Caenorhabditis elegans: one gene and its partner. The protein of the gene in region 1 purifies or fractionates together with the protein of each later gene. This does not show direct contact. Each region holds a gene or a part of one and is shown on either strand. Other genes may lie near its edges. The genes, in order: Y56A3A.30 and fce-1.

Region 1 (7,686 bases):
GAACCAATCAGCGTTGATTGGCACGAAAATTGGCGCTGATTCGTCTAAATTCCTCCCGGCGTCAAACACCACAAAAACCTCCCGACCAATCAGCATCTTCGAGCTCCGCCCACTTCACCCGATTGGTTGAAGAGTGGGCGAAGCGAATCGCTGATTGGTCGCCTCATTTTGGAGGGAATTTAGCCAAAATAAGAAAATCTCGTTGGATTTCCATATTTTTTTCGACTTTTCTGGATATTTTAAGGCAAAATCCTTCTCCAAAAGTCTCCAAAAAAATTCCAAAAGCTTCTCAAATGTATTTTTCTTCTAAAAGTGCTTCCTCTCCAAATTTAAATTCATCAGCGTCTCCTCGAATTAAACATTGTCTGTCTGTGTCCCGGCGTCGTTCTATTTCTCTATGTCTCCAACATCATAATTTTTGTGAGGGCTGAACAGCCTCACTCTCGCCCTCTTGACTAGAAAAAAAACAGCCATCTCCTTTCCTTTTCTTCATTCCTTCCTCTTTTCCCAATTTTCTTTCCATACCAGTTGCACAGATAGTCTCGTTTTCTCTAGCCACCTTCAATTTATTGAGGAACATTGACCACATTACAATCGTCCCCAGTGCCGTGGGCAATACCGAAACCTGCCGTATGCCGTGGGAACACTGGGCACAGGCATATAGTTCACAATGGCATTTTGCTCTGATATTTGCTCTTTTTTTTATCGCATTGCTATCTATTTTCTGCTCTTTTTTGGTTTTTTTTGAAATTTTAAGAAATTCCAACTTTTCAATGTTTTCATGTACATAGAGCATCTTTTGGCAAATCCGCGATTTGCCGGAATTTTCAATTCCGCCAAAAAAATTATTTCCAAAAAATATTGTACTCTATATAGGTTTTACACATATTTTGTGGGCTTAATTTTTTTTTCTAGAAAATTGGCACACAAAAATGTGTAAAACCTATATAGATTCATCAGAAATTTTGAAATTTCCGGCAAATTGGCAAATTGGCGGATTTGAAATTTCCGGCAAATTGGCAATTTATCGAAAATGAAAATTTCCGGCAAATTGGCAAATTGATGGATTTGAAATTTCCGACAACTTGGCAAACTGACGGAAACCAAAATTTCTGGCAAATCAGCAATTTGTTGGAATTGAAAATTTTCGGCAAATCGGCAAATTGCCGAAAATCAAAATTTCTGGCAAATCGACAAATTGGCGGATTTGAAATTTCCGGCAAATTGGCACATTGCCGGAATTGAAAATTTCCGGTAAATTGGGACATTGCCGAAATGGAAAATTTCCGGCAAATCGTCAAATTGCCGAAAATCAAAATTTCCGGCAAATCGACAATTGACGGATTTGAAATTTCCGGCAAATCGGCAAATTGCCGGAATTTAAATTTACGGCAAATCGACCATTTGGCGAAAGTCAAAATTTCCGGCAAATCGGCATATTGCCGGAATGGGAAATTTTCGGCAAATCGGCAATTTGTCGGAATTGAAAATTTCCGGTAGATCGGCAGATTGACGGAATTGAAAATTTCCGGCAAATCGGCAATTTGCCAAAAATCTAAATTCCGCCACTTTGCCGGAAATCAAAATTATGGCAAATTGGCAATCGGATTCTAAAATAAAACTTCCGGCAAATCGTCAAATTGCCGTATTTCAAAATTTCCGGCAAATTGGCGGTTTGCGGGATATGATATTATCTGGCAAATCGGCAAATCGCCGGAATTGAAAATTTCCGGCAAATCGACAAACCGGCAATTTGTCGATTTGCCAATCGGCAACCGCTGTATAGAATTTGATAATTTTCTGAGTTTCAACATGAAAAAATATTTCAAACGATACATTTTCACATTCTTAAAATTCAGAATTTCTTGAAATTGAAAAAAAACCTTTTAAAAAAACTATTTCTCTATTTTTCCATATAAATTTCTAAAAAAATCGAGATTTTCCAATTTTCTTGCAATTTCCTTTCGAAATCACAACAATTTTCCAGAAATGAACGACGAAGACAGTGAGGAAAGGCGTCATCACCCTAAAGTACCCCGGCTTGCTAGGCAGTAAGTACTCAAAAATTGAAAAAATCGCTAAATTCGCTCCGACCAATCAGCATCCTCGAACTCCGCCCACACCACCTGATTGGTTGGGCAGAGCGAATCGCTGATTGGTCGGAAGTTTTTCGCGATTTTTCGTGCAACTTCAACAAAAAAAAACTTCCAGATCACATCCCGAACCACCTGGTCCTAGTTCAAGCACATCCAGCACTCCACTCTTCACCGATCCAACGATTCACACGATTCTCGATCAGATAGGCCAACGACTAGCGAGCTTCAGCGAAAGTGATGTGAAACGAATCAAAAACTACTTGAGCACTGTAACAGTGACACAGGAAGCGTGTGTTCTGTTGCTTCTGCCCAACAAAGAACGGGAGAAGCTAATGTTTGCCGAGATTGAAAGACATATACTGGAAAACTATGAATATAGTATGATAATTCATCGATATGTGAATGATGTGCTGAAGCATGCCATCGAAACACAGTTCGTTAATCCGGATAAACTCGACGAGAGCAACGATGCTTGGAAGGACGGATTGAAGATGATTAGCGAGCAAAAGATGAGAAGCTCGCGGTACACGGCAGCTCGGGCTCGAAGTCAGCGGTTCGCAATCGCGAATGATAGCTACTTCCCGAGGCCTGAGATTGTGCCTAGTACAGATCATCCTGTCTTCGCTTCAAGACCTTCGGTTTCTACCCAGGAGGTTCGAACTGGGCGCCAACAAATAGATCAGGAAGTTTCTGGCAGGAAGCGAGAATTTCATGGAAAGCTGATTCCGATCACAGGCGTGGTTGAAGAGCCAAGTGTCAGAATAAATGCCGAACTTCAGCAGTCAGAAACGCAACAAATTGGAGACAGTTCAGATCAAACAGGTAAGTTGTTTAGTAATATTGGCTTATTTCAAGCCAATTAGTACATCAGAGACAGGATTGCACGGCAATCGAATTTTCGGCAATCACCGAAATTGCCGGAAATTTTAAAACCCGGCAATTGCGGAAATTGCCGAAACTTTTGAAAATCGGCAATTGCCGAAATTGCCGACTGCTCAAAATTTTAAAAACCGGCAATTCCCGAAATTGCCGAAAACTTACAAAACCGGCAATTGTCGAAATTGCCAGAACTTTTTAACACCGGCAATTGCGGAAATTGCCGATTGCTCGAAATTTTGAAAACCGGCAATTGCCGAAAAATTGAATAACTTTTCAGATACTGCGACTCCGATAAGCGACATAGCCACTCATCAGGATCCGGAAAACGAAATCAGTCCATCAGTGACAGAAGGTTCCAATGATATTGCTGACGATGCTGGAGCAGGAGACGACTTTTCGGAAAGTACTACTGGAGCTGTGCAGCCTGAGCAACAAGCATCCGAGCACTCCAACTCGGAAGGTGTCGAGAAGTCAAGCTGCGCTGAATCTCTTAAAGAACAGCCAGATCAGTCGAGCCCAGCCGTTTCTAATACTGTTTCGGAAAACTCTAATACCGATAGTGAAATATGCTCTGGAATAGATCAAAATCCGAATTCGGATAACCTGGAATCTACGATTGATGTGGGTGAGCCGCTTCGCAACACCTCCGATCAGCCATCTCCTGATCCTTGTTCTGATGTCCAGATAGGAGTGAACAGCACCACCAAGCAATCCACTGATCCTTCTGTGAACGTTCAGCTTGGACACAAAAGCTCCGATCAGCCATCAACTGATCCTTCGGCACATGCTCAGTTGGAGGACAACTGCACCATCCAGCCTTCAACTGATCCTTCTTCGAACGATCAGCTGGGAGACAATACCTCCGACCAGAATTCAACTGATCCTTCTTCCGACGTTCCGATGGAAGACCCTGGAGAATCAGGATCAGCTGCTTCAACGCCTCCACCCGACTGGGATGTTGCAGAAGTTCCGATTCCTCAGTGTAGTGGCCACTCTGACGGCAATATCGGAGGCACGAATGAAGTTACACCACCGGAACAAGAAGCTCAAGTATTGGCTCCAAGACGTTCAGAGAGATCTCGTATAAAAAATATTTGGCTCAGCCGAGATGAAGTCGAACGATTGAGATATGAATTTGTGCCACCGCCGTCCAGAAAAGATATTCCGAAGTGCACTGCCAAGAAGCCCGAAGCTGAGATACCGAATGTAGAGCCAGAGTCCAGTTCAACTGTAGAATCACAGAGAGATGAAGATCAAGCGGTTGCGAGCGGTGAGTTCAGAGATATTGAATATTTTACATCAGGGGTGGGCGGAAAATCCGGCAAATCGGCAAATTGTGGGAATTGAAAATTTCCGGCAAATCGGAGAATAGTAAGAATTGAAAATTCACGGTAAATTGGCAATCTGCCGAAAATCAAAATTTCCGGCAAATCGCCAATCTGCCGAAAATCAGAATTGCCGGCAACTCAGCAAATTGCCGGAATTGAAAATTTCCGGCAAATCGGCGAATTTCCGAAAATCGAAATTTCCGGCAAATCGCCAATCTGCCGAAAATCAAAATTTCCGGAATTAAAAATTTCCGGCAAATCGGCACATTTCCGGAATTGAAAATTTCCGGCGAATCGGCAAATTGCCGGAATTGAAAATTTTCTGCGAATCGGAAAATAGTGGGAAATTGAAAATTTCCGGCGAATCGGCAAGTTTGCCGGAGTCGTAAATTTCTGGCAACTCAGCAAATTGGAGGAATAAAACATTTGCAGACCGGAAATTGTCGCCCACCCCTGTTTTGCACTACGCTTTGACAAGTGTGAATTTATTCGCTTTTTTTATTTGCCTGAATTTTGCCGATAAAGAAGATTTCCGGCAAAGTGGAAAATTGCCGGAATTTAAAAATTTCCGGCAAATCGGCAAAATGCCCAATTTGCCGCCCACGCCTGCTTCACAAATTGATTAATTGCAGCCTCTTCCGTAGCTGAACCTCTGGAAGAAGCCACTACAACGAGTGTGCCAGAGCCAACAGAGTTTCAATTGTCACGGGACATTTATAGCACTGTAAAGCCGACTGATGAGGCTCATAGCCCGCCGATTCAAGCCCAACCGAAGAAAAAAGCCACGCCAAGACGGAAGAAAGCAGATGACGTGGAAACTGTAGTAGCTGACGGAACAGCGACGATCCCGAAGCCGAAGAGAAAAAGGCCGCCGAGGAAGAAGCCTGAGCCGAAGCCGAATATCGTTTTTGAAACAACGCCGAATCCTCCGACAGAAAGCTTCGCAGCCAACAACAATTTCCAGCAGTTCCAGTTTCAAAATCAGCCTGGTAGTTGGACCTACAACAATGGATTCGGCAATGGATATGGGTACGGCGGTGGAACCACTGGATACATGGATAATCTTGTTGGCAGAGGGTTTGACACGGTTTCTCAGCAGCCTGGATTTCAGAATCAAGGTACATTTTTTAAAAGGAATTGAGAAAAATGTGCCAAAAAATTTTAAAGGTGGACTACGCTTTGTGGGGAAATTGCTTTAAAATACGCCTATGGTACCACAATGACCGAATATCATGATTAAAAAATTCAAAAATTTTTTCTAAATTTTATATGATTTTTTGAAAATTGGAAAAATCACAGTTTTCCCCTAATTCCTATTTGAATTACCGCCAATTGAATTTGTTCGATGGGGCGCGCTTGCACGTTTTTAAATTTATTTATTTTATTTTTTGTTATTTTCCACCGATTTTTAATGTTTTCGGTGTATTTTTGCTCGAATTTTAGAGAAAAAGTCAAAATAAATGCAAATTTTCGATTAAAAAGTGCGCTTACAGGCGTAAATCAGTGAAATTAATTAATTCAGGTTCGAAATCGTTTAAAAGCGTTACTTTTTCATTTTTACGCCTGTAAGCGTGCTTTTTAATCGAAAATTTGCATTTATGTTGATTTTTTCTCTAAAATTCGAGCAAAAATACACCGAAAACATTAAAAATCGGTGGAAAATAACAAAAAATAAAATAAATAAATTTAAAAACGTGCAAGCGCGCCCCATCGAACAAATTCAATTGGCGGTAATTCAAATAGGAATTAGGGGAAAACTGTGATTTTTTCAATTTTCAAAAAATCATATAAAATTTATAAATTTTTTTTTGAATTTTTTATCATGAAATTCGGTCATTGTGGTACCATAGGCATGTTTTAAAGCAATTTCCCCACTAGCGCTACCCCACCTTTAAAGGAATTGTGAAAATTGTGAAAAAAAAAATCAAAATTTCGAAAAAAAAAGCGCTAATTTTAACTAAAATCTCTAATTTTGGCCACTTTTCCGTGCTGCAGCGTCCGAAAGTGCACTTTTTTTGAATTATTATTCTTATTATTATACATTAAAAACCCCCGTACTCCTCCAATAACGCCAATATTATCGACCATCTGGACGTGACCGCGTGCAACCACGGCCTAGCTGCCGCCACCCCATTCAAACGAGACATTTCGGCGGGAGAGTCCTTTTTTTCGATAATTCGGATTTTTTTGTCTGTTTCAAGTAATTTTCGCCATAAAAATTACCATTTTCTTCTTCGGTGCCATTTCTAATGATTTTCCAGTGCGTTTTGAGTCTGAAAGTTTGAAAATAAGAGTTTTTGCACAAAAATGTGTGAGAAAAGTTCAAGAAAATCGTCGAAAAATTCAATAAATTAATTTTAAAATTTAAAAAAAAATTAATTTTTTTTAAAAATCAATTCTGTGCATACACCGCCACGCAAAAGTGCACACAATTACCTACCGTAGTCAATGCGAAATTAAATGATTTTTATCGATTTTCTTCATTTTCAGGTTACGAATTCACCGGTTTGCCTGCAAATAACTCGAATAATTTCCCATTTTTGTGATTTAATTTTTCAAATATCCTTATCTATGCCCTCAGGTTTATTTTATCTCATTTCCACTCGTGTTTTTTGAATAAAAATTCTTTTTTTTTCTTCTAGATTTCCGTTTATTTCAGAATGTCGAAGACTGTAAGAATTCCGGACATGTTCCTCAAAGCATCCGCTGCCTCTAAACGGTATTTCCCGCTCTGAAAATTCAAAAAAAACCACCGAAATTTCAGAAAATCCGCTTCAAATACTGAAAATATTCCGGAAAAAGTTCCCGCGGGCAATGAAAATCAAGAAGTCAAGAAAATGAAGTTACAAGCACCAGAACCAACTGAAATTCTGCTAAAATCCCTGCTAACCGGTGAATCTTGGTCGAAACTTTTAGAGGAGGAATTCAAAAAAGGCTATATTTCGAAAATCGAGAAATTCTTGAATTCCGAAGTGAACAAGGGCAAGCAAGTGTTCCCACCGCCCACACAAATTTTCACAACATTCAATCTTCTGCCATTCGACGAGATCAGCGTGGTTATCATCGGTCAAGACCCCTATCACGATGATAATCAAGCTCACGGGCTCTCCTTCAGTGTTCAGAAGGGTGTAAAACCGCCGCCATCGCTGAAAAATATCTATAAAGAGCTTGAATCCGATATTGAAGGCTTCAAGCGGCCCGATCACGGGAACCTGCTCGGCTGGACACGTCAGGGAGTGTTCATGTTGAATGCCACGTTGACGGTTCGGGCTCACGAGGCGAATTCTCACGCGAAGATCGGCTGGCAAACTTTCACGGACACTGTTATTCGGATTATTTCGCGACAATCGGAGAAGCCTATTGTCTTTTTGTTATGGGGAGGA
Region 2 (4,041 bases), on another chromosome or scaffold:
TGACAGAATCCTTCGCGTTCTTGGAATCAGTGTGGATTCTCACGTGGCTGTCTGGAACATCACGAGCCTGAAAATGCAGAAAATTGAATGTTGGTACGAATGTTTGAAAATTACCATTTGGGTGGCGTGCTTGATGGCTTCCAGCTCATATCGATTGTTGGTTTGTGGTCCGTGTGGATAAGAGCCACTCACATTCTTCGATGTATCTGAAATATGTTCAAATAAGGAACAATTAATTGCACAAAAAACCGTACCACTTGGAACGTGAACTCCATAGCCTCCTCTGGAGCCTTGTTGGCCGTTTCCGAGAGCGGAACCGTCGGTGTAGAAGTCGTACGGCATTTCTTTAAAATTTCAGTTCATTTGATAGGAAAAAAGCATGCGAGAGAGAAAAGAAGAATGAAAACGGAGATCTTAATAAAAACAAAATGATGATATGAATTGTTTCGCAGAAGAAAGCAAACTTCTGGAAATTCCCGGGAATTAACAAAACAAAACAACAATAAAGCGAACATTCTAGAAAACATTTTTTTTGTTCTCCGCGGGTACTGTATTTGAGTCGCGGCGAGACCCTTCTATGAGACAGTTTGTGCGAATGAGAGACCGAGAGATCAGTCTCGTTCCGTTTTAAAATTTTCCTTGGAATTTAATTGTATTTCCAGTTTTTGTTTAAAAAAATTTATTTACTATAGAGAATATTAACGAAATTTAAGTTCAAAAAATGCAATAATATCACATTACAATCATAAATTAAATTATATAAAATACTTTGGCATTCAAGAAACAAGTAGTAAAACATGGGAATTTATTTATTCTTTGCCTGGAAGGCTCTAACAGCAGCTACTCTTTCAACAACTGGAGGATGTGTGTGAGTGCACCATGAGTAGAGTGAGTCATTGATAGGCATCGACAGATTGTCAACACCAAGCTTGGTCAAAGCTCCAATAAGATTTTCTCCGTGTCCGAGGTTAGCAGCAAACTCGTCAGCTCCAAATTCAGCAGAACGGGAGTGAATAACCATTCCAATACTAGCGAGTTGATTGTAGAGAGCGAGGACAAATTGGAAGATGAGCATCATGCCAATGACTGGTGGAGTATCGTGATAGCCGAATCCCTGAAAATTAAAATTTTAAGAATTTAATGGTTTAAATATAATTACTTGATAGAGGGCTTCCCATTTATAAAAGTATCCAAAAACTGCAAAAGAGAAGAACAAGTTGACTTCAGCTGAAAAATTCTACGTTTTGCTGTGAGTTCAGTTAAATCAACTTACTGATGACAAGATTGATCAAAGTGTGCCATAAAGCCCAATGACCCAATTCATGGCCCAGAACGGCCACAACTTCATCGTTGTTCATTCCTCTCTTTTTGTCGTTTTCAGTTTCTTCGATTTTCTCTCCAGCTGCCACATACAATTCATGTACTTTCTCCTTTTCAGCTCCACTTAGCAAAGTATCATAGAGCACAATGCGCTTGTTCTTCCAGAATCCATACATGTAAGCATTGGAGTGAGCCGAGCGTTTTGAGCCATTGACAACGTAAAGTTCAGTTAATGGATAACTGAGAGAAGCAGCTAATTGTTCAATTTTCGTCTTGAGATCTCCATCAGGCAATGGGAAATATTTGTCGAAGAGTGGAGCGATGAAAGTTGGATAAATGGTCATCAAAAGTAGCACAACAACAGAAACAAATAACCAAATATAGACAAAGAAGTATGGTCCACCATTGACAATAATCCATTCAATTCCATAAACGATTGGCATAGTGAGAGCAAATCCGACGAGCATTTTCTTAATTTTGTCAACGAAATAGAATCCAATAGTTTGTTTATTGAATCCATGGGCATCTTCGATAATAAAAGTGGAATATAGATCCCAAGGTAAATCGATGATTGTTTCAATTATTGAGTTTATTGAGAGAAATACAGCCACATGCAATGGATAACTAGCCGTTGCGTACCAAAGGAATGGATAATATCCTCCAATCAATTGTGCCTGAAAATTATTTTTTCATTTAAAGTAAACTTCAGCAGTCACTAACCGTGAGGAGAAGCTGATTAAACCAACTATGGAAGAATCCGAATAAATGATTATCAATTTTATAGTCTCTGGCCTTCTTATAATCTTCTTCTCCAATAAGTTCTTTGACTTCATTGGGACGTTTTACAGCATTTTTATGAGCTCTGAAAATGTTTCTCGTTGCGAAAAATCGGTACAATGAGAACTTACTTGTACTGTCGAAATGTGATGTACTGATCCCATAAAAATAGTGCCCAATTTGTGGCTAAAAGTGCTTTGAATAGACAACTTGCGTCCATTCTGAAGATGAGAAATGTTAGTAAATTATTCTGAAAAAAATTGAAAAAGTAAAATGTTAGATTCGAGTTTAACGAACAGACAAAAAGTTCAAAAAACGTGTAAATTATATCACGAAATATTCATTGAAATTACAGATAGACATCGGGACATCAAAACATGAGCTATTTACAATTTTACACTGAAATTTTTTTTAATTTTAGAAAACGAAGTGAATAGTATTATTTGTTTCTTTTGGAATGCAATTGAAAATAGTAATTAAAAATTATTCAGCATTAAGAAGATCTTGAATTTCAGCTTCCCATGCATCATCGTCTTTTCCTCCAGTTTTTTCAACAACATCATCGTAATCGTTCAAATCATTGAGAATTTCTCGTTCCCATTCTTCATCTGAAAAAGAAAGAAAAATTAATTTTAAGAATCGGCGGTTTATGGTCAAAAAGTGGAACAAATCGAATTAAATTGATATTACTGCGGTAGGACATCAGTCTAAATATTACGTTGAGGTCTAAAGATGATAATTTTGGCAGTATCCAACGTGCATGGGTCTCACCACGCAAACAATCAATTACCGTAAGATGCGGCGAAAGTTATCATCATTAATCCTTTGCAATCAGGGCTGTCGTTTTTTTTTAAATTTAATATTTTTGGACAGAGAATTAAAAAAAAGTTTTCAAAACTGTTAATTTTCAGAAACGAGAAGGAAAAAGACACGCATTTTTTGTTAATTATTTTTGTGACAGCCCTGCTTGCAATCCGCCATTCATTGATATGTACTTTCTTCAAAAAATAAACCGTAAACTTATTCAGCATTTAAAATAACATAATCAAAGTTTTAACTTTGAAAAAAAAACATAGAACGCACCGACACTTGTCAAAGTTAGTTCTCCTGGTGCTGCAGGTTGTTCAGAAACAGTTTCTTTCAATTCTTCCTCTTCTTCATCCTCGTCTTCGCAACTTTCTTCAGATACGGTTTCCTTCACTTCCGGCTCATTTTCTTTCTTTTCTTCTTTAATTTCAGAAGACGATTGTGGAGCAACTTCAGCAGATACATCTGACTCTTCTACCTTCTTTTCCTCAACAATTGGATTAGGCGTCGGTGTAGTTCTTCCCGTGCCTTGAGCAAGCATAGATTGCCGAATGAGCCCGATACGATAGAAATAATTTTGCCAAAATTGATTCTCTTTCACTCTGAAATTTATTTCTCAAGTTTTGAAGAATAGTTGGAGGAGACGGTTGGGGATTTTACTTCAAGTGTTAGAAAATGGAATGCAATAACTAAATATAACTGAAAAAATGTACTGAATTTTTTAATGATTTTTGTTTTTATTTTGCAAAAATTAAAAGGAAATTTGCGCGGGTATTCGAAATATAATTGAGCCATTTATTAATTTTACAACATTTTTTTTAAATTAGAAGTGTTATTAACAGTTATAATGTGTTATTACGGTCCAGGTCCTAACACGTAGAGTAAAATTTCAAAATTACTTTTTAAAAAGTATAATTTAAAAACTCACTGTTTGGGTACAAGTTGGAATCTAACATTCGCAAGATTTGGATCATGTTTGAGTAAAAGAGTTGCCATAGCTTGTTGCTGTTCGTAAGTATATTCACTGTTAGCTGCTGAATCACGGAGAAAGTTTCTTGTGTTTGTTGACAATGACATCATTTGCTTTTTAGCGAGCTCTTCATCTGGAAGTCCTTGCCACGGTAAATCAATATTTCT

Evidence for each region.
Region 2: the proteins of Y56A3A.30 (region 1) and fce-1 fractionate together in Caenorhabditis elegans (co-fractionation; one large-scale study listed by BioGRID). This does not show direct contact.

The regions. Positions count from the first base shown.
Region 1 is NC_003281.10:11,973,367-11,981,052, reverse strand, and holds Y56A3A.30 (SP-RING-type domain-containing protein), read left to right. Parts: upstream 1-1,987; 5' UTR 1,988-1,989; coding exon 1,990-2,051; intron 2,052-2,211; coding exon 2,212-2,918; intron 2,919-3,252; coding exon 3,253-4,245; intron 4,246-4,935; coding exon 4,936-5,421; intron 5,422-6,526; coding exon of another isoform or gene 6,527-6,547; exon of another isoform or gene 6,548-6,576; intron 6,577-6,793; coding exon 6,794-6,849; 3' UTR 6,850-6,925; downstream 6,926-7,686. Other genes in the region: Y56A3A.31 (SOSS complex subunit A homolog), read right to left, coding at 6,527-6,547; ung-1 (Uracil-DNA glycosylase), read left to right, coding at 6,964-7,022, 7,068-7,686.
Region 2 is NC_003279.8:9,710,402-9,714,442, forward strand, and holds fce-1 (CAAX prenyl protease 1 homolog), read right to left. Parts: upstream 2,319-4,041; 5' UTR 2,318-2,318; coding exon 2,229-2,317; intron 2,183-2,228; coding exon 2,041-2,182; intron 1,995-2,040; coding exon 1,274-1,994; intron 1,228-1,273; coding exon 1,160-1,227; intron 1,115-1,159; coding exon 806-1,114; 3' UTR 651-805; downstream 1-650. Other genes in the region: rnh-1.3 (RNase H type-1 domain-containing protein), read right to left, coding at 1-67, 115-206, 255-342; C16C2.4 (BSD domain-containing protein), read right to left, coding at 2,581-2,705, 3,181-3,506, 3,833-4,041. UniProt on the Caenorhabditis elegans protein: Proteolytically removes the C-terminal three residues of farnesylated proteins.